Oryzias latipes: one gene and its partners. The protein of the gene in region 1 binds, or shares a complex with, the protein of each later gene. Links are inferred from orthologs where the notes say so. Each region holds a gene or a part of one and is shown in the gene's direction. Other genes may lie near its edges.

Region 1 (8,104 bases):
CATATTAGGGGGAGAATTGGTTTGAGACCAATTATTCACAAAACAAGCTTGACACTTGCAGGCTGAAGCCATTTGAGATTAGGTTCAGAGATATGAAACCAGGGTTCAGAGGAGGATGCCGTTACCGTGACAACCTGGACTGAAAAAGCTTTGAGCTGCTGTCTTTGTTGCCCTCCAGCCAAACTTCATCTGTAGATTGAGGTCCAGGTCTTTCCTTTCACTGGGATCAGCCGGTCTGATCTGTAGATCCGCTCCGATCGTCCTCTGATCCGTTTCCAAAGCGTTCCCGTGGTTCTTTCATGACCATGATGCCGTTTTTAGACAAAATCCCCAAACCTGTTCTTTTCTAGGACATCAGTTCATTTGAAATTCCCCTCTGACTTGTGGGCGGGGCTGTCGGTGCAGATTAAGCCCGCCCCCCCTCATACCCCCAACTTAACGTCAGTGGTGCATCAGAAACAGCAGCAGCATCAGATCCATCCATCTGTCCGGTTCTGATCCAGATTCCAGCTCAGACCAGGAAAACACAGACGTCCATGGATCTGTTGGTCTGCAGGTGGATGATCGGAAAGGGGCGGAGCAGGGAGACTTTGGCCCCGCCCATTGTAGCTACATCACTGCTACAAGCTTTTTCAAACTGCATATTTTCGTCTGCTCCGGATTTTCAACCATTTAATTAAAGAAATACTCAGAAATGCAGTTTAATCTAAATTTTCTTTGTAAATGTCATCAGAATAATTCTACCTGTTAGAACCAAACACACAGTTTTCATTAGAGGGTCTTTAAATTCCAGGTGGTCTCCTGGTTTCACTGGCATTGGCCTGCCTGCAGAAGACGCGTCTCTCTTAGGACGGATTCTATCAAAGCTTTTCTTCGTGGTTCCTTGGAGTGTTGTGACTGTTCTGGCTGTAATCTTGGGTTTTGGTAAAGCAGTTGCGACGTTTTGGTGCTGACCACCACAGTTTGAAGTCCTGTGCTCCTCTGGAGGTGGGAGTGTTGTGTCAAAGCCTCAGAGCTCGTTTGTTGGACCAGCGTGAGCTCTGCCTGCGTTTGGACAACAGGGGGCGGCAGTGAGCGGCTTCCCTGTAGATGAGACGTCATCGTGGCTGAAGCTCTGTAGTGCTTCCCTCCTGCCTGCAGTCAGATGCCTGCAGCCATCACCAGTAGATGCCTTTCTTTTCCCATCATGCCTGCACAGCTGTTGGGGGTTCACATTACAGAGGGTGCTCATGGGGGGGCGCAGACAGGAAGCACACACTAATCGTTTTTTCTCCGCATTAATGTCGTCTTTGGGATTTTACAGTTAAGTTTTTATCTACAGTAAGGAGACCAGCTGCCCCCCAGGTCCTAGCTCCTGCACCATATTCACAACTCTTTCAAGTTTAAATCTGATTTAGTGAAAATCCTGAAGATATTTGTGTTAAATTGTGTGGAAACAAAGACACAAAAAGCATTAGTGATTTTCAGTCATAGTGCAGTCGGGGGCTCCTCTTCATATTGACACTGCCGTTCACTTTGTGATGTTGCTGCTTTTATCTCTGCTTTCACCTCTGTTGTGAGTGTGTGGCTCCGCCCCCTCAGGCTGCCGGTGGGTGGAGCCTCGCTTCAGTGTGTCGCGATGATGTGTGTGGTGCCGCTCTCGTGCCTCAGAACATCCTGCAGATGTTTTAATGTTTGTACTTACGGTCTTAGATGACGTGGATATTTCTGCACACAGACGCTGTTTTTATTTTCAGCTGTGATGGTTAAACTGTAAATTGCACTAATTGTTTCCCAGATTCTCCTAGATGAGATGTTTGGACTCATGCTGAACGTCGTCATCACTAAAGTGGAATGTTGGTGTTGTAGACATTTCTCTGCAGAATTTCTGTGTGTGAAATCACATTAAAAGAAATACTAAACAGTGGTGGTTTGTTAGTTTGTTGCTGAGTTCCAGACCATGGCAGGATCCACCTGGACCAACCAGGATCCACCTGGACCAACCAGGATCCACCTGGACCAACCAGGATCCACCTGGACCAACCAGGATCCACCAGGACCAACCAGGATCCACCTGGACCAACCAGGATCCACCAGGACCAACCAGGATCCACCTGGACCAACCAGGATCCACCTGGACCAACCAGGATCCACCTGGACCAACCAGGACCAACCAGGATCCACCTGGACCAACCAGGATCCACCTGGACCAACCAGGATCCACCTGGACCAACCAGGATCCACCTGGACCAACCAGGACCAACCAGGATCCACCTGGACCAACCAGGATCCACCTGGACCCACCCGGATTCCACCAGGACCCACCAGGACCCACCAGGATCCACCTGGACCCACCCGGATTCCACCAGGATCCACCAGGACCAACCAGGATCCACCTGCACCCACCAGGATCCACCTGGACCCACCAGACTCACGTGACAGACACCATGTCAGCTGATGGGCCGCTCATGCCCAGCTCAATCCAGAAAAGATTCCTTCAGAAGGAAGGCGTTTTCCTTCAACTCTTCAAAGTCTTCTCTGACACCTGTCAATCTGTAACCATCCCAACCCTTAGCCACTCTAACCTGCTGCATGCCCTTCCTTTCTCACTCTCTCTGCCTTGCTCATCTGTACAGGTCAGTCTCTCCCTCTTAAAGGCCCGTTCACACCGGGACGAATTTCGCCGGCGATTTTCGCCGACGTTTAACGCCTCGTGACTAAACAAAGGGCACCAATGTGAGTGTGCACACCGACGCGAAAAAACGCCAAGCGCCAAAGCGTCAAAAAAAAAAAACGCCTCGGGTTCGTTTTTTTTTTCCGACGCGTCTCGTCGAAATCTATTCGACCAATGAGAATGGCGCTTTTGCTCACGTGTCTGGAGCTTCTGAAGTTACAGTAAAACACAACTTGGGGGCGCTCAAACACAAAACTGCCTTGCTGAGCACACATACCAGCGAAGAAGTTAGACGCCAAGTAGCGTCAACACTGCCGCAAAGAAATAATGACGGACATTCTAAAATATCCCCTTACCAAGCACCAGTTGGAGCTACTGGTGCTTGAAATATTCATGTTTTCTTTGTATTATTCTGACTAGCGCGTAAATACTTGCTCTCTTTTTCAGAGTGAAAAGCGACTTTAAGAATCGTAAAGTTGCGCAGCGCCACCTTGTGTACAGGAGTATTTCTGTTTTACATTAAGCGCCATCTAACGTCAGGGAATGAAATTGCATGTTCGCTCGGCTCATCGTCAGCGAAAATCGCCTGGGTGTGAACACAAAAAACGTGGCGAAAAACGCTGGCGAATAACGCCTGGCGAATATTCGTCCCGGTGTGTACGGGCCTTTAGTCTGTAGAAACTCCTGCACCTCCTCATTCCACCACCAACTCTCCTGTCATCCTTCCGTCCTGATGACCAAGTACACTCCTACCTGCCTCATCTGGGAGTTTCTCCTGACCACCCAGAGCCTACATTACCTTTTCGTACAAATATCCTTCAGGGTTGAATCTGTTTCAGGAAAAGGTATTTTGCTTTACAGGCTTGTCTGGACATCATTTAAGCTGAAGATGTTTTCTCCTTTGAAACCTTCTTTGCTGTGGATCCATCCAGAATGAAGGAGAGTCCGCACAGATATTTAGTTTGTTCTTCCCCTCAGTAATCCTTACATTTTAAAAATATTCCCGGCTCACTGAAGATAAAAAATAAACCATTTAAGAACCTGAAATTAACACCATAGCTTAAATTCTATCCCGTCTATAAATATGGTTGGTGTGTTTTTAAAAAGGAAATCCTGATCTGTCTCTAACATTACATTCTTCCTCTTTCTGGATCCTGTTGATGGTTTCGGTTTGTCTTGTTGTTCTGGTTCTGTTTGTGGATCCTCCGCGCGTCTCTTTGGTTTGTGTCGCAGAAAAGTTTTTGGGGACATTTTCGCTTTTGCGCTCAGAGTGACACCTCCTCGTTTTACCGCGCTCTCTGTTTCCTTTTACGTCACGGGGAATTTCCAAGAGGAAGGAAGTTGCTTTATTCTCACTTTAGCGCGCGCCCTGTCACCTGCGCTCGCGCTCTCCAATACGTCACTCTCTCGCGCACATTTGTTTCTTCGTTTTAGCTGTTAGAAGCTGCAGGCACGCGCTCGTGTCGTGTGATGACGCATAGCCGTTAAAAAAGGCAGAAATTCGCTCCGACAGAATAATAAACAAAAAAAACAAAAAAATGAGCGAGAGCCCCTGAGGTGAAGCGGCACGAGAACCCTCACCTGCGGACGTTCACCTGAGCTGAACAGGTAAGAACCGGGTCAGAACAGACCACGCCACTTCCTTTCACTTCCTTGTTCTTCGGACATTCGTTTTCGCGCGCGGACTTTACCACAACAAAGAGGCAAAAAGTAGAAATACACTCATTTTATTCCAAGTTTATTGTGTTAATAAGGTGACGGTCGCGTGCTCGCGGCAGTACGGCAACAAAGACAAACCATAAAGAATCTGACCGGAAAACGTTCGGAAACGAGGGAACGTCGGCTCATGGCGGTTTAAGTTTAACACGTGGCGGAATCTCTGACTGTTTGGACCGGACCGTGAACGCAGCAGTCAGACTGGAAGAGCCCACGCACGGGCTCACCGTGGGACCGACAGCAAATGTGTAAATGTGTTCTAAAAGAACGTAAACAACGAGCCTCGCGGCGTTCAGGAGGCTGAGCGAGTTCCCGCGCAGCAGGCACGCGCACAATCAGATGTTCCTACCCAAATTCCGAAGTTGAAAAAAACGCTTTAATAATTGGCACGAAGGATGGGAACATTTTTGTTTTCATAAAAAAGTCCTGGACTATCCCCGCCCCCACCCATACTGTTTACAAATAGGCAGCTGGTTTGTTTATCTGCTGCTCTGTGTTGTTGTTGTTGTTGTTGTTGTTGTTGTTGCTTCGGTTTGAACTGCCAGACAGAACTTTGAGGGTTCTGTGTTATGGGAAGGTTGATTCAAACCTGTCGATGGTGACGGTTTCTGCCTCTTCAGTTTGGAGGAGGTTCTACTGTCATCATCATCACTTTCACAGATGTTCCTGCAATTAAAGAACAAACTGTTAGAACCTCGCTTAAGTTCTTGTCTCAGCAGCTTCTGGAATCACCAATGAGAACACGATGCAAAAGGTCATGAGACCTCCACATTGGCAGGTGAAGCATCTTCTTAACTTGTGGGTGTAGTCTCTGCAGGTAGGTGTAGTAGGGCGTCTGCGTGGATGTAATTGCTTCAGTAGGGCGTCTGCGTGGATGTAATTGCTTCAGTAAGGAGTCTGCATGGGTGTAGTCACGGCAGGAAGCCGTCTGCGTGGATGTAAGTGCTTCAGTTGGACGTCTGCGTGTAGTCACTGCAGGAAAGCGTCTGCATGGGTGTAGTACCACGGCTGTGTGGGTGTTATTGCTTCAGTTGGACCTCTGCGTGGGTGTAGTTGCATCAGTAAGGAGTCTGCGTGGGTGTAGTCACTGCAGGAAGGCGTCTGCTTGGTGTAGTACAGCGTCTGCCTGGATGTTATTGCTTTAGTAGGGCGTCTGCGTGGATGTAATTGCTTCAGTAAGGAGTCTGCATGGGTGTAGTCACGGCAGGAAGCCGTCTGCGTGGATGTAAGTGCTTCAGTTGGACGTCTGCGTGTAGTCACTGCAGGAAAGCGTCTGCATGGGTGTAGTACCACGGCTGTGTGGGTGTTATTGCTTCAGTTGGACCTCTGCGTGGGTGTAGTTGCATCAGTAAGGAGTCTGCGTGGGTGTAGTCGCATCAGTAAGGAGTCTGCGTGGGTGTAGTCGCATCAGTAAGGAGTCTGCGTGGGTGTAGTCGCATCAGTAAGGAGTATGCGTGGGTGTAGTCGCATCAGTAAGGAGTCTGCGTGGGTGTAGTCACATCAGTAAGGAGTCTGCGTGGGTGTAGTCACATCAGTAAGGAGTTCGCGTGGGTGTAGTACAGCGTCTGCGTGGATGTTATTGCTTTAGTAGGGAGTCTGCATGGGTGTAGTCACTGCAGGAAGGCGTCTGCGTGGTGTAGTACAGCGTCTGCGTGGATATTATTGCTTTAGTAGGGAGTCTGCGTGGGTGTGGTCACGGCAGGAAGTCGTATGCGTGGATGCAATTGCTTCAGTTGGACGTCTGCATGGGTGTAGTACCGCGTCTGCGTGGGTGTAGTCGCATCAGTAAGGAGTCCGCGTGGGTGTCGTCACTGCAGGAAGGCGTCTGCGTGGTGTAGTACAGCATCTGCGTGAATGTTATTGCTTTAGTGGGGAGTCTGCGTGGGTGTAGTCACGGCAGGAAGCCGTATGCGTGGATGTAATTGCTTCAGTTGGACGTGTGCGTGGGTGAAGTCGCATCAGTAAGGTGTCTGTGTGGGTGTAGTCACTGAAGGAAGGCGTTTGCATGGGTGTAGTCACTGCAGGAAGGCGTTTGCATGGGTGTAGTCACTGAAGGAAGGCGTCTGCATGGGTGTAGTACCGCGTCTGCGTGGGTGTAGTCGCATCAGTAAGGAGTCCGCGTCGGTTTAGTCACTGCAGGAAGGCGTCTGTGTGGTGTAGTACAGCGTCTGCGTGGATGTAATTGCTTCAGTTGGACGTCTGCGTGGGTGAAGTCGCATCAGTAAGGAGTCCGCGTAGGTGTAGTCACTGCAGGAAGGCGTCTGTGTGGTGTAGTACAGCGTCTGCGTGGATGTAATTGCTTCAGTTGGACCTCTGCGTGGGTGTAGTCGCATCAGTAAGGAGTTCGCCTGGGTGTAGTCACTGAAGGAAGGCGTCTGCATGGGTGTAGTACCGCGTCTGCGTGGGTGTAGTCGCATCAGTAAGGAGTCCGCGTCGGTGTAGTCACTGAAGGAAGGCGTTTGCATGGGTGTAGTCACTGCAGGAAGGCGTTTGCATGGGTGTAGTCACTGCAGGAAGGCGTTTGCATGGGTGTAGTCACTGAAGGAAGGCGTCTGCATGGGTGTAGTACCGCGTCTGCGTGGGTGTAGTCGCATCAGTAAGGAGTCCGCGTCGGTTTAGTCACTGCAGGAAGGCGTCTGTGTGGTGTAGTACAGCGTCTGCGTGGATGTAATTGCTTCAGTTGGACCTCTGCGTGGGTGTAGTCGCATCAGTAAGGAGTTCGCCTGGGTGTAGTCACTGAAGGAAGGCGTCTGCATGGGTGTAGTACCGCGTCTGCGTGGGTGTAGTCGCATCAGTAAGGAGTCCGCGTCGGTGTAGTCACTGAAGGAAGGCGTTTGCATGGGTGTAGTCACTGCAGGAAGGCGTTTGCATGGGTGTAGTACCGCATCTGCGTGGATGTAATTGCTTCAGTTGGACCTCTGCGTGGGTGTAGTCGCATCAGTAAGGAGTCCGCGTAGGTGTAGTCACTGCAGGAAGGCGTCTGTGTGGTGTAGTACAGCGTCTGCGTGGATGTAATTGCTTCAGTTGGACGTCTGCGTGGGTGAAGTCGCATCAGTAAGGAGTCCGTGTGGGTGTAGTCACTGCAGGAAGGCGTTTGCATGGGTGTAGTACCGCGTCTGCGTGGATGTAATTGCTTCAGTTGGACCTCTGCGTGGGTGTAGTCGCATCAGTAAGGAGTCCGCGTAGGTGTAGTCACTGCAGGAAGGCGTCTGTGTGGTGTAGTACAGCGTCTGCGTGGATGTAATTGCTTCAGTTGGACCTCTGCGTGGGTGTAGTCGCATCAGTAAGGAGTTCGCCTGGGTGTAGTCACTGAAGGAAGGCGTCTGCATGGGTGTAGTACCGCGTCTGCGTGGGTGTAGTCGCATCAGTAAGGAGTCCGCGTAGGTGTAGTCACTGCAGGAAGGCGTCTGTGTGGTGTAGTACAGCGTCTGCGTGGATGTAATTGCTTCAGTTGGACCTCTGCGTGGGTGTAGTCGCATCAGTAAGGAGTTCGCCTGGGTGTAGTCACTGAAGGAAGGCGTCTGCATGGGTGTAGTACCGCGTCTGCGTGGGTGTAGTCGCATCAGTAAGGAGTCCGCGTCGGTGTAGTCACTGCAGGAAGGCGTCTGCGTGGTGTAGTACAGCGTCTGCGTGGATGTTATTGCTTTGGTAGGGAGTCTGCGTGGGTGTAGTCACGGCAGGAAGCCATCTGCGTGGGTGTAGTCGCATCAGTAAGGAGTCTGCGTGGGTGTAGTC
Region 2 (8,074 bases), on another chromosome or scaffold:
CCCCAAGTTTCAAAGTTGATGTAGGAATCCCTCAAGTTTGTCCCATCTCCCCATATCTGTTCTTATTAGCTACTGAGATGTTGGCCATTTATATTGATGTAATTGTAATGAGATAAAAAAGTCAAATGTCTTGGGCACAGAGATCATTATTAGCCAGCTAGCAGATGACACAACACTGTTTTTCAAAGAGGAGCATCAAATTACAGCAGCTATTGAAAAAATAAAACACTTTTCCAAAGCATCAGGGTTAAACTTAAACTTAAAGAACTGTGAACTACAGTATTGGCTATTCATGACACACCTGTAAAAGAAATCAATCATATGTCCATTAAATCAGAAATTAAATACCTGTGCATCTACATCAACAAAGACCAAAAAATAAGCTAATCAAGCAATGTGGGGGAAAAACTTGATGAATGTAAGATGAGGTTGAATATGTGGCTCCAAAGAGACCTATCGATGCAGGGCCGGATCTATCTGACAAAGATGGAGTGTTTGTCAAGATGTATTCACCCATCTTACTCTAATGCCATCCCAAACAAAATGATAAAATCCATCTGCCAAATGACTTTAAACTTTATTTGGAGAAACAAGCATCATCACATGAAAAATAACTATATGGTCAAAGAATTTAAAGATGGTGGTCTCAAAGTTATGAATTTTGACTGCCGTAACGGAATCCTATAGATAAAATCGTGGATCAAACACAACCAATCCTTCTGGTTTTTTGTCCCAAATTATTTATTTAACAAATCAGGCAGCTTAAAGTGTGTGCTTATTAGTGATTTTGATGTTAATAAGCTCCCTATAGCATTATCAGAATTCCATGAACAAATTCTGCTATACTGGAAAATATTGTATGTGCATCACCAAACTTAAGTACTATTTGGAACAATGAATACATGCTCCATAGAAACAAGTCCTTGTTTTGTGCTGAATGGTTTGGGCAAAGTGTTTGGTCGGTGACTGATCTGATATACACGAAGGGCAATTTTTTAGATTATGAGCAATTGTGTTTAAGACATAACTTCAATCCTCCTATCTCAGGATTCTTAAAAGTACGTAATGCTCTTTCTCGAGAATTAGTATTTCTAACAAGGAACACAATGACACATGTAATGATAAAACCACAATTAGCCACATTATCAACTGAAGCATGCCCTCTTATGGAAAAAAATGTAATAACTCTTTTATCAGAAATTGGTTAATTGAAAGATTATTTCCTGGACGATAGAACAAAAATAATATATTACAGAAATGTGAACAAAATGTTGTTTCTAAATTCAGAACCAAATTCATGAAACTTCCTATTCTCCCAAAAGTTAAAGAAACACACTTCAAAATTATGAATAATATTCATCCCTCCAAAGAATTACTTAGATTACGTTTCAACATTGATGACAACAGCTGTTCCTTCTGCCAAACTGCTGTTGAAGACACCGACCACATATTTTTCCTGTGTAGCATTGTACACATTTTTTGGTTAGATGTTTACAAATAGTTGAAAAATAAATTCCCATTCATTGTGAACCTTTTTTTAAAAAGAAGTCATAATTTTCGGCATATCACTACACAAAAATGTATTTATTTATGTATCAATACCATTTTATGAATAGTCAAGTTTTTTATACACAAAAACAATTACAGAAATGTCACCCCAACATTACCTTCTTTAATGCAGAAGTCAATTTATACTTAAAACCCCTAAGATTAATCAATTTACCAAAAGCATAACAGTTTATGATATTCTGAGCGATACTATCTGAGACGGTTTATTTAGTCATTGTTGTACCAACCAGCATTTGGTGTCACTATTAAACTCTGAAATTGTTGTTTTCTTGTGTCTTGTGTATTTGCACGTATATGTATGCATATTGATAAGTACTCTATTTTATTTTGTTTGTGCTTCCTTTTCAATTGCTATATTCTTTCTACTAGTATCCACCATATTTTGGGATGTTTTTGGTTTGTGTTCGATAAAGTTCTTTAAAAAAAAAAAAAAAAACTCTGATTCAGCATTTTATGTACTCTTCCTGTTTCAGAAATGTTATAAACTGTGTACTTATTTTGCAATAACCTTCGATCCCACTAGAGAGCCCTATTGCATTGCAGATGAGCCAGAGACTGTACTTCTTCTGACTATTGTATTTGTGTTTTGTTAGGGCTGTACCAACTGAAGATGGTGGACACACAAGCATCCTGAAAGCCTCAAGAGGCTGATGGCGTGGTTCAAACAGGTAATGTGGAGCATCAATCAGGAATGAAAAGATTTCTGTGTCACTGCTATTAATTGTATACACACATGACGCCTCTGCAGGGAAAACTGCAATGTCGGGAGCACGTCACCAAAGGCTTTGAAAACATGCCAGCTGCTTTTAAGGGGATGCTGAAAGGAGACAACACTGGCAAAGCCGTTGTTGCTGTCTGATGGATGACCAATAAAGGTCTTTACACAATTAATGAAGGAGGATTTTACATATACTGCACTGAAAAATAACTACAAGATATGTATTGTCTTTTCAGTGTTTAGTGAATTAATTTTATTTTTAAAATACATATGTGTGAGATATGTCTGTATTTCTCAATAGAATGTAGTTTTATTTAAATTGTTTAGTATTTTTCTCTTTTTTTCCCGGACAAACGTAAATAAAAAGATTGTTTTCTTACAGCTGTGACACGGCTTCTACCTGAACGGGGAAAAAAATCCAAAAGTGACATTTGCTTGTTTTACAGCGACATAGATAAAACTGTAACCAGATATTGTTGTTTATTCTATAATAAAGGTTGTTTTTGGTCTTTATTGATGTATGCTGGTATTGCATGCATTGCCTAACTGATTTGAACTTGCATCATATTTTAAAGAATGGAATTATGCAAAGATACTTTTAAAAAATGTTTTAAGGTCTAAATTAGGCAATTCTTAGGCTTCAAATGAAGTTTCCTTATTTTTACGATAGAACCTGTTGGAACATTCACATATGTAGTCTAAATACTCAAATTCTTTATTCAAATATGTAAATGGAAAAACAAGTCTTTGTGTACCATCTTTTAGAATTAATCTTCTGATTAAATCACTTCCCTAAACTTATTCCAACCATGATCAAACTGCAATAATTTGTCTAAATATTGCAATTTTTTGTTATAGTATGGACTTTTCTGTTTATTGTTTACCCCTTACTTTAGTTGTAAAAGAATAAACAAATAAAGTCTTTTTAAGCTATTACGTAATAAGACTAGTGCAGGGGTGTGGCCTCATGGGCGTTGACCAGAGTTTGTACAAGGAAATATGGTCTGCAGTGACCATGTTTACGGTAGTACAGAAATTTGCCAAGTCATTGTGATTCGACTGTCTGATCAAGCGTTGACGGAATTAAAAACAAAAAAAGTATTTCAACTTACTATCGATATAATTCTCTAAAAGGACGCGTTATTGTTAGTAGATTAGTTTTGCAAGTTATTTTAAGCCGCAACGAAACAACAACGAAGCACTAACGGGCCTCAGATATATATAGCCTGACATCACCGATTCTGTAGTTTTTATTCTCAGTAAAGAGCTAAAATATTTGCAAGAATCCAGGAAAGGAAACCATTCTGTTTATAACTTTCAAAATAAAAGTATTTTTCGTGAAGCTTTACCAGTAATAACACAACTGCTGATACAACATGAAATCAAGTACGGTTACAACACATTTCATGCACAATCATAGTGGCAATGACGTATACACACGGCGTTCTTTTAATATAAATGATTCGCTTAAACATAAAAGACTGGCTTTTATTTTGTTAGTCAACCCATCAGCTCTTCCGCTGCGACGTGTTAGTCTGACGCCGTTATAAATAGGGCAGGTCATCCTCTTTGACTGAAAGTGTGGTCTTTGCGAAGCCGCTGTCTTTTAGATTCAGCGAGAGTTTGCCTTTTCAAAACAGCAAACATGGTCCGTGAAGTGGCTGATCTTGTAAGTAGTTCTATAAATACAATTAATCATGTCTTTATTTATTTCGCTGTACTACTACATACATTCAGGACAGCACAGTTGACGTTAGGTAGCCGCGCGGTTATTTTCTCAGCAAGCTTCTATCTACTTACCTTTTTTGCAAGAAAAAAAAACCCTGTTAAAGCATTTATTCGCTTAGAGTTAGCATGTTTATTGTCGTTGATGGAATAAATTACTCCGACAGAATAACTCTGGAGGCTGTATTGCTAATGTTTAGTTGTTTTTTCTTTTTTTCCATTTTCTACCCATGATGCACGAGGGCGGACTTTGCTATCTTGTTGCCGCGCGAACACGTTGCCAGGGTTACAAGTTTTCGGAAAGGTTTTACCGTTAACTAGATAAAAAATCTTTTAGTAATACACCAAAAAAACGTTCCTATCATGGCTCAGATGAGCAGAAAGCTACAATAAAGTACTAGTTTGAGTAAAAGTCAACTCCTATTTGCGACACTTGGACCATTCCGCTAGGCCTCGGGCCGCCTCTGTCCGTGTGTACACATGCCTGGATGTCAAAACTGCTGAAATCATTCAGACTTCTGGGTGTCACTGGTTGCGTCCGAATTCCTTCACTAATCACTACAAAGTGCACTGTGCGTTCGCCATTTTGTAGTGCTGTCCGATTCTACAATTCCAAAATCGAGTGCCCTGCAAATTTCCCAGAAATCTCCGCAAAAAAACAGTGTGCATCAATGCTCACTAGATCTGTGAATATAGATCACAATGCATGGCATCAAATCTATTTTTGCTTAAAAATGTATTTAAATGTACTTTCTGAACAACCTGTCAAGTGTTTTTATCTTCAGAAGACTGATAAATGATCCTCGCAAAATGCTCCTATCAATTAGATTTTAACTTCGTGAAATCGATGACGTCATATCCGCCGTAAATTAAAAAAAAAAGTAGTGGGCATGGTGTCCAAATTGCTTTTAAGTCGGTGCACTCTATAGTTTTTTTTAGAAGTTGGGGGTTAGGGTGGGAATTCAGATACAGCGACTGCTTTTGATCTGGGGCTGTTCTGCTAATCATTAGCCAAACCTTTGATAACCACTTATCGTTACACTATGGGAAAGCCTGCTGACAAAATGAAGTAATTTATTTAAACGAATTCTTTACCTTTATGCTTATTTAAAATAAATGATGGAAACATGCTTTTTTTGTAGGCAGAATTCAAGAAAATTCTGGAAGACGCTGGAGACAAGCTGGTGGTTGTGGACTTTACTGCATCATGGTGTGGGCCCTGCAAACAGATTGCCCCCTTGTACAAGGTAGATAACTGGAGCTTAAAGACTTGATCCGATGAAAATGTTTTTAACATGTTTTTGTGCCCATTTTCTGATAAAGGAGAACATGTATAAAGAAATTTAAGCTTAAAAATGCATTTCTGAGTACTTCTTTTTCTTATTGTGAATCAGTCACAGGCAAGAAAGGACAGTTTTGACAGAGCTTGTAGTTGTAATGTAGAAGCTACAATCTGCAGGCCACAAGCTCCCTGCTCCACTCCATACTGATGCCTCTACTTGCAGACAAATGGATCCATGTACGTCTTTGTTTTCCTCGTCTGAGCTGTCATCCGGCTCAAAACTGTATGCCTGATAGCTCCGATATTGCTCACCATTTTTGTTTCACCTGTAGTGTTAGGTTGGGGGTTTGATGGGCTTTAAGCTAGTCGGAGAGCTCGGAAGTTACAACCCCTCTCTGTCAACCGTCCCAACCAGCGAATAGAAACAGGGGGACCAATTGAAAACGGTGTTTAAATGTAGATGCATTGTTACTATGGCAACCCTATAAGGTTTACCTCCCCACTTCAAGGAGAGGAAGTGCTTGTTCACAGGAAATGGTCCAACACACACCCAGTATGATTTTTCAGTAAAAGTGCTCTGTTTCTGTAGAGTTGAGTCTAATGTACTGTTGTTGTATGTACTTGTTGTCTTGCAGCAAATGTCGGAAAGCGATGACAACAAGAATGTGGTTTTCCTGAAGGTGGATGTGGACGAGGCTGATGTGAGTGTGCACGTTCTCCTCCTTGGCCAGTACAAACTAGCTTTGTTTTAATGGGCAAAACCAGCTTTTGTTTTTAGTCTCTCTACTTTATGAAAGCGTTAGGTTGCAATTGGGGGCCAGCAACAATAATTACTTAATAATTGTATTTTTATTTTTTTTAATTTTGATTCATAAAAAAAAACTGTTGCTTTTTCTCTTTCAGGATATCAGCAGTTTCTGTGAAATTAAATGCATGCCTACATTCCACTTCTACAAGGGGGGCAAAAAGGTAAGTAACTGAGTGCAGTAGTTGAAAAGTTTATAACTTTTTACAGAGGTTCTGATGACTTCCTTTAAAAAAAGAGACCCTGTGTCACATGGGATCATTAAGAGAGTCTTACTGTATTTTTCAAACCATAAGGTTATCTTAAAATCCTTGTATTTGTAAAATACTATTTATAAATTGAGTGTACTTACTGCCCTCAAATTGATTTCCTTTGGTACATGGGGCCCAAAAATCTGCCAAAATGTTTTAGTTTGACTTGTGATGCGTCCCGTCTGTCAAATGTTGTGGAATGAGTTGAATGAAGTTTAAGTTTACTTTGTCTTTTTTGCTATTTAAAAGGAAAACCTCTTTGTCTTTCTTTAACCAGAGAGCCATGTGTGCCCTGGTTTAAGTGATCCCTGTTTAAGCCCTGTGTAAGCTTGACTTAAACAATTAAACCAGCCTGGAAGCCCTAATGTCCATCCTGCAGTAGCAGAAACGGCTAGTTTTTGTTTGCAAATATTAGATCTCACCTTTTCAACTTCTGTCATTTTTTTATGTTTTTATTTTTCCAGGTGGATGAGTTCTCTGGTGCCAACGTTGCAACCCTGGAGGAAAAGCTGAAAGCACTGAGATAGGAGTAGAAGTCAGACTGACCAGAGCAGAAAATAAAACGCATAACTGATAAAGTCTTCACCTCATAACACACCCAAAGAAAGAATTGCAGCTAAGCGTCATGTTTAACTGCTATCAAGTTTTGTTTTTTTCCCCAATGTTGGCACTAACTTGTCATCTATCCTGAGTTGAACAGTTTGTGTACTGCATTTACTTCAGTCCAGGTTTTATTTTTTTATTTTTTTTTTCTACTCTAACCATTTATGAAGTTTGAGTAATCCATGTTACCTCTGTATGGATTTAATAAATGAATCAAACCCTAAACTGCCCGACTACAAAGAGCTTCTAATAGCATTTAATGCTTTAATAGAAATGTGACAATAGTTTACACATAAACACTGGAACGGTCACATCAATCTTTTTTTACACATCATACAAGTATATATAGCAGCGCATGTTTAATACTGTTAAGTCTTTATATGAAAAAATACAGCTTTAAATTTACAAACTGGTTCTTTTTTTGACTTTGAAGAGAAATGAAAAGTTGGCAAGAGTCCAGAAACTATACAGGAAATCCCTTCATTAGATGATTCACATGGAGGTGACTGGAACCTTTAGAAATGGTAGTAAACAGATTTCCTCTTCCTGCAGGGAAGAAGAAAAAAAAAGGTTTTAGCACAAATAGCTTAACATCTGCGTTCAAGCAGAATTTGAAAAAGTTTGAATAAAAAGTGATTTTTTTTTTTCCTATGGAATAAATGCAAATATTATTTTACTTAATTGTGAATCTTAAGGTGCCACTGAAGGTATTAAAGCACGTTTTTAAAAAAATACTTTCAATGTTTGAACTTTTAAGTACAAAAACGAACTCAGAAAAGGGGTTTTTACATGAAAAGCCCTCAGGACCCTTTAGGTCCTCTGGCACGGGCCTCTAGATTCCCAGAGTTGGAACCAAAACATACGGCGAGTTAGTTTTTATGGACCTCGCCTGTGGAACAGCTTCCCAGAGAACCTCAGGATCACAAATGTGCCTTATAAAGGAAGGTTCAAGACCTAGCTTTTTATTCTGGCTTTTAGTTGAAATGTAGGGAAACACTTATTAAATATTTATATTGTTTTATTCATCCATACTTTTCTACTAATTTTGATATTTTTTGTGTGATGGTCGTTGTTTTGCATTTTAAATTGAAATTTACAATGTAAAGGACTTCATTTTATAC
Region 3 (8,081 bases), on another chromosome or scaffold:
TTCGTACACTAGTAAATTTCTTATCAGCTTACAGAATTGTTTTCAAAAATTGAACACATCACAAATTACGTGTACAAACTAAAAGTAAAATAATGTATTGAATGTTAATAGTTGATTTACTGATTGTGCAACTTTCTTCCAATATTTATCATCTATAAAAGTGTGCCAGTCCTTGGATCAAACCACCTTTCTCCATCAGCTGGGGACACCGAAGCAAAGCTGTGAGGTTAGTGCTGATAGACATTCAGCCAGGAGGGAATTTGATCTTCCCATTGTTTCAACTGAACTTCCTGTTTGCGGCAGTGTTGGAGGACTTTGGGCACGTGGGACGTGATTCTACATTCTGTTCTCTGGTTGTGAGCTGCATGTATGCACTGTCACTGTGGGTAAAAATAGCTTTCCTGAAAGCCGTGACAGCATGAATTTGGTCACAGAGGGGAGGGGTCACATGGTCTTCTTAAGGCACCAGTCTCAATATAAGCTCACAAAGCACAGACACACAAGCCTTCATACAAACTCAAGAGGATAAAGAAACTTTTCTGAAAGGGAACTTGTGCTCCACTGGAACATGGGTACGCGTGGATCCAAACCCAAGAAACAAGCGCAGGTCTTGATGCTGGGTCTGGACGGCTCAGGGAAGACAACACTGCTCTACAAACTGAAATACAACGAGAGCGTGGTAACTGTACGGACGGTGGGTTTTAATGTGGAAACCCTGGAAACCGACAGGAGCAGTCCAGAACTGACAGTGTGGGATGTTGGGGGTCAGAGGAAGATGAGGCCCCACTGGAAGCATTACTATCCTGACACCGCTGGCTTGATGTTTGTGGTGGACAGCTGGGATGAGAAGAGGCAGGATGAGGCCTGCAAGGAACTCCATCGGGTATTTCAGTTCATGTCTAACCTTGATCAGAAAAAAAATACAAGTGTTCCTATGTATATATGCATTTTTATTGTTTCTGAAGCAGTGAATGCAATACTAAAAAACAATTATTCCGAAACAAGTTAAAAAAAAAAATCTACAAACTATTCATCAAAAAAAGGGAACAAAATAAAAATCTTGATTTTGTTGATTTTAATAATTTTATTATTATTCTTTTTACCTTTTAGGTTCTGAGACACAAAAGTCTTAAAGAAGTTCCTCTTGTAATTCTGGCCAACAAACAGGATCTCCCTGGTTGCTGGAGTCCAGAAGCCCTCAGCCTGAAACTGGACCTGAGAAGGGTGTGTGCTGGAAGGGCGTGGTTCATTCAGCCCTGCTCAGCCGTCACTGGGATGGGGCTTGAGGAGGGTTTCAGGAGAATGGTGTATTTGATGAAGACTCCACTGAGGCAGACTCAAGAGCACATCAAGTTAACGATGAAAGCAAAAGGCTTGAAGTTCACATCAGCAAAAAAAGTCTTTTTTTGTTGCAGCTGATATCTCTTTTGTTCATGCTGGATTTACTTTTGTCTTCTTATGCTGCGTATTTGCAGACAGCAAAGCGGATGCATCTATGAGCTCAAAGAGGTTAGGGAGAAGGGCGGCTTCCCAGAAATCATGGAACAAGCAGAAGATCTGCTGGGAATAAGAAAATAAGAAACCAAGAGCATTAAGGGAAAGCTTTTGGGTTTTGAGGATATACATTTATATATAGATATATAAATAGATATCTATATATCTATCTATCTATATATATAGATAGATAGATATATGATATATATATTTTTATTCAAAATGTGTTTGTCTTCTGAAACAAAATGATATTGATTTAATGACTTGTACCAAATCAGTGAGAACTTAACCCTTGTGCTTTCCTGTGGGGTCCAGATGACCCGATCCTTACATTGACGTGTTCTTCCTACCATGACAAAGGTGGATTAAGGTGAATAGGATTTCATGTAATCCATGGACACCAGTGAAATCATTGAAGAAAAAATGTTCAGCGCACTGTCTTGTGGGGTCTAGATGACCCAACTCCCAATGTTAAAGTGACTCAGATAGCACAAAGGTTACAGCAGATTTATTAGTTCCCAAATGAATAAAGTAAATCTCTCATGTTGATGTTTTTTTTAATATTGGAACTTCAAATAAATGTAATTTTTATGAAGATTTTGGGTTTAAGGTGTTAAATATAAATATTCATAAAATATTATGGAAAAGTATAGTCATTTCCATGATTCCATTGAAAACATTGTCCAGATTAAAATAGTTTAAAACATCCGTGCCCCGCAGAATTTGGACAGATTTCACCACAGTATTCAGATTTACTAAAAGTTTGTTTTCGTGGTTTTAATGAGGTGGAACCCAAATTTATGTAAAAATAAATAAATATTAGAAATCAATTAAACAGTACACTATATTCAATTTTTAGATCTAATTATCCAAATGAATAGACTTTTCCATGATGCTCTATTTTTAAAATGGTATTCAATAAAAATCGTGATACTACTGATAATTTTGTAGTTGTAATATCGAATATAATGGCAACATGGTGTGAAACTGGGAATTACATTTTTAGCATTGTATTGTAGAGAAAAAAGACAGTTCTCCGATCTAGAATGCCTTACTTCTTAATACTATGCCAAAATTGAGCAATCCTATTCCCTTTTTTTATTCAGATTTTGACTGCCTTATGAGAAATAGCATAAACTAATTCATTATATATATATATATATATATATATATATATATATATATATATATATATATATATATATATATATATATATATATATATATATATATATATATATATTATATAATATAGTATAATAGTACATAGTATAATATATAATATATATATATCTAATATATATATAATTTTATTATAATAAAAAGAATTTAGAATTTTACAATTCCCTAATGAAAACTCCTTAAGAAATGATGCGACATGGATAGGGTTTTAGTGAAATGACATATTTAAGTTTAGGTGATCACGAATCAAACGTCTGCCTTCCTAAACATGAGCAGACGTGAGTCGGTATAATGCGGTGTCTTCTGCACACAGACGTGAGCGGTGAAACCAATGAGAGTGAGGGGGATTTCCCCACCCTTCCCTTACGCCAGAGCGAGGCTGCCCTCTACCACCGGCATTCCCAGTATGCACCGCGGACCGAGCAGCAAAAAATAGTCCACTAACGAAAGACTGCGAAAAGGGAACCAGAAACAGATAGCTTACCGGCTAAAACTCTGTCCAGTAATATTTAACGTAATCAGAACTACTAACATGGCCGACAACGAGAAACTGGACAACCAGCGACTAAAGAATTTCAAGAACAAGGGCCGAGATTTGGAGGTAAAAGTTGCGAAGATCGGTGTCCTCGCTTTCGTCTGCACAGCCGCCGCGCTCAGCCTTGCCCCTCGGCTCCGTTGTGACGTCGTTTCTAATTTACACCACGGGCAACTTTGCTGCCAGAAACTGGCGAGGGCCTTCAGAAATCAGTGTTTATTGGAGGCTGGAATCGTTGGGTCAATTTCGAACTGGTTTCGTTTTATCCCGAAACCGTGTTGGGTGTAAAACATGTCAGAAAAGCCTCCGCTGGATCAGCTCTGCTAGCCACCAGCTAGCAAGGCCTCCGGGAACATGCTAACTCCACTGATGCATATCATCCCCCAGTTCGGTCTCGCTCGGTCAGAAATGTTAACAGCTTGCATACAATTATTTACAAAGTACTTTTACGTTATCTTCTGAGAATGTGGTGTTAAGTTAAGCTAAAACAACGACAGATGTTCGTACTTCTAACATTGCAGTTAGCCCAACTGCGTGCTAGGTTAGCGCGGCGGTGCTGTTGGCTGCAGTTCCACCCATCCCCCGTCTTTATAATCAAAAACAATGGCGGAAACAAGTAAGCTTCTAACATGACCACTTATATTAGGCTCAAGTCCACACCAATAGTAATATAGTTCTATTTTATGCGTTAATAGGACGTATTCTCAGGAGAGCAGTCTCCCCTTAACACGTTTACTACATGATTCATAGATCAAAGCTGGACGTTGGTTCATCATGTCGGATCAATAAGTTACCAGGTGATTTACAGTCAGGTCAACGCGTAGCTGTTAATGCATTCCAGCTAGTATTGATATCGGTTTCAGGTGGGGTTGCAGACGCAGGAAACCACGCATCCTGTTTGAGAAGGTACATATATGTTGCGAGGGGGGCGTCGATGATTGTTACGTTAATTATTCGACTTTCAACTCGAGAACCGCGCGTGAAATTCGTTTCTCCAATGATAAACTTTAAGCATCAACACCAAGGTTCAATACTTAATGTAAATAACTTCTAATGCATGCAAAGGTTCACGAGGAATTGAGTCAACAAACATTGTCAATTTGCATTTACTTTGCCTCCACTGTGTGCATCTGACGTAGAATTGTTTCAGAGGGCGGCGGCCACGTGGGACAGTAAAGCTGCACCTTTACCGTGAATAGAAACACATCTAATGTCACATCATGCACTGCAACCTGTAGACATATCCGCTTCTGAAATAAATTTGGCTTGATGTAATTACTAAGCTGGTAGCTGAGGGAGGAAGTGCGTGCGATTTTCAAGATGTTTTTAGTGGGTTACCAGATCACTTCTCTCATTCATAGTTCTATTTTAAGTCATCTCTGTCATATGACATTAATATGTTTACTATTTTTGGTCAGTGTTATCACTAATAAAACAACTGACTGTGTGGACACAATTGAGACATAACTGGTCATAGTGAGGATCCTAACAAACTATGGTTTTAATATTTGCAACAGGTTTTGCTTGACTAGAAATCGAATAAAGTAATGGGTAGATGAATAATCTTGTATAGGAAAACCCTAAAAGTGATCCTTAAGGTCTTCTTCCAGTCATGTTGTTTTGTTGTAACTATTAACCTGCTTTTTCTTTTTTATTGAAAAAGCTTGCTATACTACCATTTCCTAAAAATGCAGTTCCCATTTTTGCCATTTTACTTTTTTTTCTTTTTGCATATGATACAAATATGTCAAAAAAGAACAATGAAACCTGAAAATGTAAAAATGATGTATCGGTCAGGTACTGTAGTTCTTAAAGCTGAGTTACATTTAGTCAGACTTGTGATACTCATTTGTAGTTGCAGACCTCTGCTTTATAGATGCTGTAGACTTAATGCCCAGACGACCTGCATCATCAATACCCGAATATACACAGTACCCTGATATTCTCATTTATTTCTCTAAATTTGTTTGGAAGGTTGAAATTTCCTAATTTAACTAAATTTAATATTTTCCTTGCAGACGATGAGAAGACAAAGGACTGAGGTTGTCGTGGAACTTCGAAAGGTAAATAAACTCTTTACTTAAGCCATTATTTAATTAATATTGCAGAATGCTCTCAGAATTGAATATTCAGCTATATTTTATATATACTTTGCAGTAACATAAATGGATGATTAGTGAAGTGAGCTCACTAACTTTTTCATTACAGAACAAAAGGGACGAGCATCTGCTGAAGAGGAGAAATGTTCCCCACGAGGACCTCTGTGAGGACTCTGATCTTGATGGAGATTTCAGATCAGTGAGTTTATCTTTCAAATATTCCTTTTTTACACCATTATTCAGAAAAACCATATATTGCATGTTTGAATTGCAATACTACTATTAGCAACAGGGATGACAGCTTGTCAGATATGGTATAGACTGAATTTGTACTGAGATTTTGTACATTTTTGGAAAGTCTTCAGATGCTGAGCAGGTTAGGTTTAGACTTTTGCATTTAGGATGCTGCTTTATTTTGTACTGACTAGGTGGGGCAAGATTGTTTCAAAGTGTGCAGTTTGTCTTGCTATGTACTCATTTTTCTTGATCAATGTGCACAAAAGCTTCAGTTGTTGCTCAAGATACTTACAGGCACAAAGAATGAAGCATTTCTAGATATTTTAGAGGCGCTATAAAGACAATAGATGGGTGACAGATGAAAATCTAGAAAATGTCTTAAAGCTGAACTAAGTGTGTTTGATCTGGATTCAGATGACAGAAAATTTAGACTGTTGGATAAAACATGCATTGAAGTGTTCAGTCTAGAGAAAAAAATCTGGTTCCTTTTAACAGCCAGGTGTATAAAGCTCAATTCACAGGGTGATACTTGTATCATAGTGCATCAGCAATGACAAGACGATCTCTGAATGGCATCTGGAGTTACTTGGCAGCTAAACTAGTTCTACAATTCTTTGTGTGCATACTTATAAGAAATCGATTTATTTTTATGAGTATTCACAAACAGTGAAATACAAATGTGTGTGTTGGTGATTTGTAATGGCCATTCAGTTTGTAAAAGATTCAGTGTAAATGCTTAATAGACCGGAGTTTGACTGTTTAAAAAAACACATTCCAACTGTAAAGGATTTCATTTGTTTTCTTGCCTGAGGAGCTTCTGTTGTCGTCACCAGTTCCAACCAGGCCATTTTGAGTGCTCGTTTTCAAACCTACATAATGATATCTGGTATATAGCACAGTTTTATTATAGATATAAAAGATACAACTGGCAGTTTAATAATTTCCCACAACCATCAAATGGAGTCACAAATATAAACTTTCTTTTTACCCAATAATTTTATTTTATTTTGTTATTTATCTCCAAATCGACTGCTAATTGTCCTCAGTGTTGACAATTTGGACTAAATCGAAGGAATCTGGTGGGTTTTTTTCTTTTTCTCTGCCATCAGCCAGGCTAACTCCCAATTAGGTTCCTATTCAGAAACAGTCTGAACTACTTATGGAGTTATCATGTTAAGTTGCCAGAAGGCACATTGCCATGCTAAATACTGGCCTCGTGTCTTAACCTCCTGACTGATTCTCAACACATTTTCGGGTTAAGTAACCAAGCTCATTTTCTGCTCTGGTTAGTTTGTTTTTGAATCATAAGACTATTTGAGCAAGGTTTCTGTGTTTTAAGAGCTTTATGCACCAAATATGAAACATAATTCAAATGCAATAACTCCAGGAAACTTTCTTTTGCAGCAAAACACCTCTCTTGAAGCAATAGTACAAGTAAGTCACTATTTAATTTCTCCTTTGGAATTTATGGTCTTGCTAACGGAATTTTGTTGTCCTTATTACCAGTTTTATAAAGCACGTATTTATTCAGTTTCACTGACTAATCATCTTGTTTCCTTTGATATATAGAATGCCACTAGTGACAACCAGGGTGTCCAGCTGAGTGCTGTTCAGGCTGCTAGGTAAACACACTTTAGTTTGTAGTTTTTGTTTGTACTTTAACCAAAACAAAAGTCTTAGTATTTTTTGCTCTGTGGAGCAAATGGTGGACTCATTTGAAAACATCCATAGTTGCAATATACGTCATTGTCCTAAAGACTTGATATTTCATTGCATCAATGCTGTAATACACCTAATGCTGCATTTCTGCTGTAGAAAAAGGCATTTTGTTTCCACAACCTACATGTGGCTCACAGATGTGTTTACAAGCCTCTGCAGTAGCAAACCAATGCAGAGGGCCTTTTGCTTGCACTTGATTTCCTTTTGCCAAAGTATGTTGCTGATGAAATTCCAAGGCAGAATATTTTTCTCTTCCTGACTTACAGCATGTCACCCTCTTGATTAATGGACGTTATATTTAATGCAAGTGCGTCATGCTAGCCTCTAGAAATTGTGTAGTGCAGCAAAACTACTTAAAAATAATGAGCAATGTTTATTCTTCAACAGTTCTGTGTATTTGTGAATCCTTTGTAGTCACTTTTAAAGTTAATACTTGGGTTTGAGTTTTAGCTGTGGAGACAGATGGCAATATCTGATGCTAGGACTAACATATGTGTCATTACATTGTGTCCATAGTTTATTATTAGTTGGTCTGGAACAATCAAATTTCCTTTAAGGCTGATTTCATGTTATAATTTTTTTTATAGGAAGTTGTTGTCCAGTGACCGTAATCCTCCCATAGATGACCTCATTAAGTCTGGGATCCTGCCTATACTGGTCCACTGCCTGGACAGAGATGACAAGTAAGCAAGCTGTAGTTCTGTTTGTTTGCATTAGAATATAACTGTTTTTAGGCATTTGTGCTGATTCAAAGTAACATGTTTTAATGGTCTAGCTTGGTGCATTAAGTTATTCCAATAAGTGAGGTTTAGCCC

Evidence for each region.
Region 2: the proteins of nfkb1 (region 1) and txn are in contact, whole or in part, in an NMR structure (PDB 1MDI), measured with the Homo sapiens proteins. The link is inferred for Oryzias latipes from reciprocal best matches to the Homo sapiens genes NFKB1 and TXN. Residues at the interface, in NP_001158884.1 of Homo sapiens: Arg56, Phe57, Arg58, Tyr59, Val60, Cys61, Glu62, Gly63, Pro64; in NP_003320.2 of Homo sapiens: Thr30, Trp31, Cys32, Pro34, Met37, Ile38, Asp58, Val59, Asp60, Asp61, Gln63, Ala66, Ser67, Val71, Lys72, Pro75, Ser90, Gly91, Ala92.
Region 3: the proteins of nfkb1 (region 1) and kpna4 are in contact, whole or in part, in a crystal structure (PDB 7LFC), measured with the Homo sapiens proteins. The link is inferred for Oryzias latipes from reciprocal best matches to the Homo sapiens genes NFKB1 and KPNA4. Residues at the interface, in NP_001158884.1 of Homo sapiens: Glu357, Glu358, Val359, Gln360, Arg361, Lys362, Arg363, Gln364, Lys365, Leu366, Met367; in NP_002259.1 of Homo sapiens: Arg96, Lys97, Leu99, Ser100, Ser101, Asp102, Arg103, Pro105, Phe133, Trp137, Thr140, Asn141, Ala143, Ser144, Gly145, Thr146, Ser147, Thr150, Gln176, Trp179, Gly182, Asn183, Gly186, Asp187, Asn219, Trp222, Val225, Asn226, Arg229, His230.

What each region holds. Positions count from the first base shown.
Region 1 is NC_019868.2:30,822,648-30,830,751, forward strand, and holds the start of nfkb1 (nuclear factor NF-kappa-B p105 subunit), read left to right. Parts: upstream 1-4,006; 5' UTR 4,007-4,261; intron 4,262-5,167; exon of another isoform or gene 5,168-5,186; intron 5,187-8,104.
Region 2 is NC_019876.2:18,248,788-18,256,861, reverse strand, and holds txn (thioredoxin), read left to right. Parts: upstream 1-3,735; 5' UTR 3,736-3,932; coding exon 3,933-3,956; intron 3,957-5,154; coding exon 5,155-5,259; intron 5,260-5,929; coding exon 5,930-5,995; intron 5,996-6,197; coding exon 6,198-6,263; intron 6,264-6,814; coding exon 6,815-6,877; 3' UTR 6,878-7,178; downstream 7,179-8,074. Other genes in the region: svep1 (sushi, von Willebrand factor type A, EGF and pentraxin domain-containing protein 1), read right to left, coding at 7,469-7,499. UniProt on the Homo sapiens protein: Participates in various redox reactions through the reversible oxidation of its active center dithiol to a disulfide and catalyzes dithiol-disulfide exchange reactions.
Region 3 is NC_019871.2:13,520,317-13,528,397, reverse strand, and holds the start of kpna4 (importin subunit alpha-3), read left to right. Parts: upstream 1-3,046; 5' UTR 3,047-3,208; coding exon 3,209-3,277; intron 3,278-5,229; coding exon 5,230-5,274; intron 5,275-5,419; coding exon 5,420-5,509; intron 5,510-6,951; coding exon 6,952-6,981; intron 6,982-7,116; coding exon 7,117-7,169; intron 7,170-7,853; coding exon 7,854-7,949; intron 7,950-8,081. Other genes in the region: arl14 (ADP-ribosylation factor-like protein 14), read left to right, coding at 569-883, 1,111-1,419. UniProt on the Homo sapiens protein: Functions in nuclear protein import as an adapter protein for nuclear receptor KPNB1. Binds specifically and directly to substrates containing either a simple or bipartite NLS motif.